Linked DNA regions of Saccharomyces cerevisiae S288C. The gene in region 1 interacts genetically with each later gene. Each region holds a gene or a part of one and is shown in the gene's direction. Other genes may lie near its edges. The genes, in order: ERP5 and COX8.

Region 1 (3,437 bases):
TCAAGTGGAAGGTCAACTATTCTGTCAACTCCACCCAAGCTGAAGAAACTGCTGTTTTTACGTTACCTAATGTATAATCCTCTGGCGTTTCTTATCAATCCTTTCTCTTCTCTATGTATATTTTTAGAAGGATAATACCTCTATGTAGACAATCTTATAAAGATCTTCGCAACAATACATATTTCACTTACTAATATATGTTGCGTTTTCATGCATCAAAAGTAGTTAGCAATGCTAGATCGTGTAAAGGAAAAAAAAGAGAAATAGTATAATTCGCCATCCTCATAACCACTGAAAAATCGAAGTTAACCAAAAGGAAAGTTGAAATGGAGGAAGTGTTCCGTTTTTACTCGAACTCTAGAAATATCTTCATTCATAAAAGCCTTTCATTAAAACCATCCACCATTGATGACCCCAAAAGTGGATATGGCCTTTTCGTAGAACCTTCGAAGTTCAAGAATGATGAATTGAAAAGTGAAACTATCCAATTGCTCCGAATCCCTAAGCGCTGCACGTTTAATATAAACACACTTCTGGCTCTCTTGGGAGATGAGGACGAATTTTCTTCAAAGGAAGAATTTCAAAGAACTAATGACAAAATTAAGATTGCTCTTCGTGAAATAATGGCTCATCCGAATTTCAGTGTGTTCCTGACAGAAACAAATTTACTCATAATTTATTTCATGATATTTCAAACTATTCGTAGTCGTTATGAGATTCCCGAAAATATCCAATATTATTTAGAAAATGTTTTAATGAGCATTGAAGTAGAAACAGCCATGGATTCTATTGAAAACTTAGCTACTGATTATGGACATTATCCACAGATTTTTGGCCTTCGAGAGACGCTAAATTTATTTAAAGAACTGTTTCACGACGTCTTGAATTTAAGTGATATCAAACATCTTTATTCTGCAATAATTTCACGTTGTTTAGAGATACCAGAAAGGGCCGATACCAAAAGTGAAGAATTCACGGTCCATTCTACTTTAGTCCCTATTGTAGATTTTGCCAACCATGAAGGCACCCAAAAAAATGCTTATTTTGACATCGACCCTTCAAATAATGACGTTTTACTTCTATTGGATACAAAAGCGGTCCAAAGTGAACTCACAAAACCTATTGAAGTTTTCATTAGTTACTCACCAACAGAGGATTTATTTTCCATGCTTGTAACATATGGATTCACCCCAGATTTTAGAGGGAATTCCCAATTTTGGACTGTATCCTTTGACAGGTGCTTTTTAAGAAACTATGATGGACCAGATAAAACTACAAATTTAAGATTGTTTTACAAATGGATGCACATAAATCCAGTGGTACCACTAGTTAAATACGAGCACAACGGAAAGACTCGCTGGTTTCTCAATGACACCACGCCTGAATTTGATATGCTTTTGCTCCCATTCATTCCATCGATAGATGATGGCAAAATTGCTCGGTGGGCGTACGATTCCACATGTCATTTGATGTTCACGAAAATCCATTGTCTGATAAATCCCGAGGCCAACGAACATGCGTTAATGATTGCAGAAAACTACCGCTCTCTCATTAAAGAGAAAGAGTCAAATGGTGACGATTTCATAAATTTACCGCCACTAGCTTGGTCATTGCGTTACAAAGATACAGAAAACGATTGTGTACGGCAAAGACATATATGCAGTGAAGATGCGGTCGCTGTACTTAAACAAGAAGAAATGCAAGACTCAACCAAAACCAAATCCCAGTTTACCAGTTTCTTTCGTAAATTTTTAGAGTTTCGTAGATCCAAAATTATTAGGCCTACCAGTGATTCAAAAGTTGCAAGCATATTATACCAGCAGGAACTGGAAATAATTGCTGACTTAGCAAAAGCTATCGATAGCAGCTCTACCATTTTTTTCAGCGATCTGAATGTTACATTGGACACCGAACCAGAACGGCTCCCCCCTCTAAGGTTTTTAGATGATTACATAGAGATCTCTGCGGATAAGCAGGAGCCAAGCCCAATTTGTGAGGATCTTTCTTATTATACACCCAGCAGGTTTACTGATTTTTTTCAAGAAGAGGTAAGCCAATATGCGGCTTTCTTTCAGGATGACTAGATGAGTACCACTTACGATCTTGTATATAAATGTTTTTAGTTGTCCTTTCTTCTACATTAAAAGCATCACAAAGAACAATCTGACGCGTTTTTCCACTGTCTCTTTCTCGCGTTTTATTCTTTTCCGTTTGAGACAAAAAAAGAGGAGCTTTGTAGTGTAATACTACTAGTTACTTAAGGGAACACATCAAGCATTCGGTGTCTCACAGGCTACTATGAAATATAATATAGTGCATGGAATTTGCCTATTATTTGCTATTACCCAAGCTGTAGGGGCTGTCCATTTTTATGCGAAGTCCGGGGAAACCAAATGCTTCTATGAACACTTATCCCGGGGAAACCTACTGATTGGGGATTTAGACCTATATGTAGAAAAGGATGGTCTGTTTGAAGAGGACCCTGAATCCAGTCTGACAATAACTGTCGATGAAACATTCGATAACGACCATCGTGTCCTAAATCAAAAAAACTCACACACAGGTGATGTTACTTTTACAGCTTTAGACACAGGTGAACATAGATTTTGCTTCACTCCATTCTACAGCAAGAAATCAGCCACACTAAGAGTATTCATCGAACTAGAAATTGGCAATGTTGAAGCGCTTGACAGCAAGAAAAAAGAAGATATGAATTCACTTAAGGGGAGGGTAGGCCAGTTGACTCAAAGGCTATCTTCTATTCGTAAGGAGCAAGACGCTATCAGAGAAAAAGAGGCAGAATTCAGAAATCAAAGTGAATCAGCTAACAGCAAGATAATGACGTGGTCTGTGTTCCAACTTCTCATATTGCTGGGCACCTGTGCCTTCCAGCTACGCTATCTCAAGAATTTCTTTGTCAAACAGAAGGTAGTATAATATACCATGTTTGTTATATAGAGTTTATATATCGCTCATTACGAATCGGTGCAATGAGCTCTTCGATATGAAATATTCCTTAGCTTAGTAATAAGAGTGACTTAAGCTGATGCCGTTGACTGCAAAAGGAAGTAAATAGAAGTCAATAACAATGAATGACTACCATCTCGAGGATACCACGTCTGAACTTGAAGCATTAAGATTGGAGAATGCACAATTAAGAGAGCAGCTTGCCAAGAGAGAAGACAGCAGCCGCGACTACCCATTATCTTTGGAAGAATACCAACGTTACGGAAGACAAATGATTGTTGAAGAAACAGGTGGTGTAGCAGGTCAAGTCAAGTTGAAAAATACAAAAGTTTTGGTAGTTGGTGCTGGAGGTTTGGGATGTCCCGCCTTGCCCTACTTAGCGGGCGCTGGCGTGGGCCAAATAGGCATAGTAGATAACGATGTGGTGGAGACTTCCAATTTGCATAGGCAGGTTCTTCATGATTCTAGCA
Region 2 (2,615 bases), on another chromosome or scaffold:
GGACTAGAAATGGACTTGATTATCTTGGAAAGGAATACCGATCCTATAACGCCATTGTTGACACAACTTACGTATGCAGGAATACTAGATGATCTATATGAATTCAATTCTGGCATAAAGATAAAGGAGAAAGACATGAACTTCAATTATAAGGAAGATAAAATATGGAATGATTTGAAATTTTTAAATTTTGGGTCGATTGGGCCGCAGTTAAATAAATTGGCAAAGGAACTACAAACGCAATATGATACAAGGCATAAAGCCGAGAGCGTACATGAAATCAAAGAATTCGTTGATTCCTTAGGTTCTTTGCAACAAAGGCAAGCTTTTTTGAAAAATCACACAACCTTATCATCCGACGTTTTGAAAGTGGTAGAGACTGAAGAGTACGGATCTTTCAATAAAATCTTAGAGTTAGAGCTGGAAATTTTGATGGGAAATACACTTAATAACGACATTGAAGATATTATACTCGAGTTGCAGTACCAGTACGAGGTTGATCAAAAGAAGATTCTCAGATTAATCTGTTTATTGTCTCTTTGTAAAAATTCACTTCGAGAAAAGGATTATGAATATCTAAGAACCTTTATGATCGACTCTTGGGGCATTGAAAAATGCTTTCAACTTGAATCATTGGCTGAGTTAGGATTTTTCACTAGCAAAACGGGAAAAACTGATTTGCATATTACAACAAGTAAGTCAACAAGATTACAGAAAGAATACCGTTATATTTCACAATGGTTCAATACAGTACCCATAGAAGACGAGCATGCTGCCGATAAAATCACAAATGAGAACGATGACTTCTCGGAAGCCACTTTTGCTTACAGTGGTGTAGTGCCCTTGACAATGAGACTGGTTCAGATGTTATATGATAGGTCTATCTTGTTCCATAATTATTCCTCGCAGCAGCCTTTTATACTGTCAAGAGAACCTAGAGTTTCTCAAACGGAGGATTTAATTGAACAGTTATATGGAGACTCACATGCGATCGAAGAGAGTATATGGGTCCCGGGAACCATTACAAAAAAGATCAATGCAAGCATCAAGAGCAATAATAGACGGTCCATAGACGGATCTAATGGGACATTTCATGCTGCAGAGGATATTGCACTCGTAGTATTCCTCGGAGGTGTAACAATGGGTGAAATAGCTATAATGAAGCATTTGCAAAAAATACTAGGTAAAAAAGGTATCAATAAAAGGTTTATCATCATCGCCGATGGCTTGATCAATGGCACAAGGATCATGAACTCTATATCTTAATTATTATATGATAGATTTGTTAATTTTTTGTATATGCAAATGTGCTTTTTTTCACCAAACGGTTTGCACCAATCATACGAGAGAAGTGTTCGGTGTTTACGGAAAAGCTAGGGGACTAAGAAAAATTGAAAATAAAGGCTGACAGCAGTAGAAACCATTGTGCTGGCTTAGTGATTTATAAGAATGGTTAATTAGTTTTGTATCCTTTAATTTTCTAGATAGAGCCACAGAGCAAACTAAACAGAAAAGTTATCCATTTCCATTACGCAATGTTGTGCCAACAGATGATTAGAACGACAGCTAAGAGAAGTAGCAATATCATGACCAGACCTATTATCATGAAGAGGTCAGTACACTTCAAAGACGGTGTGTATGAAAATATCCCATTCAAAGTCAAAGGAAGAAAGACACCTTACGCCTTATCTCATTTCGGGTTCTTCGCTATTGGATTTGCTGTTCCATTTGTTGCCTGCTATGTTCAATTGAAAAAGTCAGGTGCTTTTTAAAACACCCCCATAAGTTTGAAGGATAGATGTGTGTACATAGCGTGCTTGGTTGAGACGTTTTAGAGTGTGTTCTTTGCTATTCCTAGGTGCGCATATCATCGTTTTATTTATTTGTACAATTTTCTTTTCATATATTCATAATCCTCTCCTTGTGCCTTCGTATTGAGACGGCGGGAAAGAAGGATCTAAGAAGAACATAATTCGACAAATTTCTTCTAAAATAATACCATATATAGTAACACATAAGAAAATAGAATAACTTTTATAATACAGTAACATACTCTATCTATTCTGAAGGCTGTTTTCGTCACGGGGAATCCTTACACCTATTTACCTAATCCTTCTAAACTTATTGTTTTTCTTGCTACTACCCAACACAGTATTACTTGAGCGAGGTGGCAGATGATTATCACTCTTCAAATGTGTATTAGTCAGTTGCTGAGTTGAATTGGACCGCTTTAGTATATTTGATTTCGGCAGTTTACTTTGTTGCAATGAGTTCGATGAAGATGAAAAGGCAAGACCACTGCTTCTTACGTGTGAGCTCAAGTTGTGTGTTATTCTATTCGAACCGCTGATAGTATTATTTCTCTTCCTTGTTATTTTTAATTTTTCTAAAGCTGAGGGAAACTGCGTCGAGGTACTTGTTAAAGGTGTATTTGAATGATGCAATTCTTTGAGGTTACTATTTGGTAAAATAAGCCTATTTGATGATGAAGATAGAGGCGAAGAGGGTTGGAGAGAAGCTGAAGATAATCTTGATATATTTTTGGAAGATACAGAGCCATTATTCGTGAGGATGTCAAGATTTGGCAACTTTCCATCGAAGCCTTTTGCAACACG

Evidence for each region.
Region 2: mutations in ERP5 (region 1) and COX8 together harm fitness more than expected from each alone (negative genetic interaction), as found in Saccharomyces cerevisiae (2 studies listed by BioGRID).

Annotation. Positions count from the first base shown.
Region 1 is NC_001140.6:329,984-333,420, forward strand, and holds ERP5 (Erp5p), read left to right. Parts: upstream 1-2,298; coding exon 2,299-2,937; downstream 2,938-3,437. Other genes in the region: GGA2 (phosphatidylinositol 4-phosphate-binding protein), read left to right, coding at 1-77; CTM1 (cytochrome c lysine N-methyltransferase), read left to right, coding at 327-2,084; UBA4 (Uba4p), read left to right, coding at 3,089-3,437. UniProt on the Saccharomyces cerevisiae protein: Involved in vesicular protein trafficking.
Region 2 is NC_001144.5:908,886-911,500, reverse strand, and holds COX8 (cytochrome c oxidase subunit VIII), read left to right. Parts: upstream 1-1,535; coding exon 1,536-1,772; downstream 1,773-2,615. Other genes in the region: tethering complex ATP-binding subunit VPS33, read left to right, coding at 1-1,266; SUMO ligase CST9, read right to left, coding at 2,103-2,615. UniProt on the Saccharomyces cerevisiae protein: Component of the cytochrome c oxidase, the last enzyme in the mitochondrial electron transport chain which drives oxidative phosphorylation.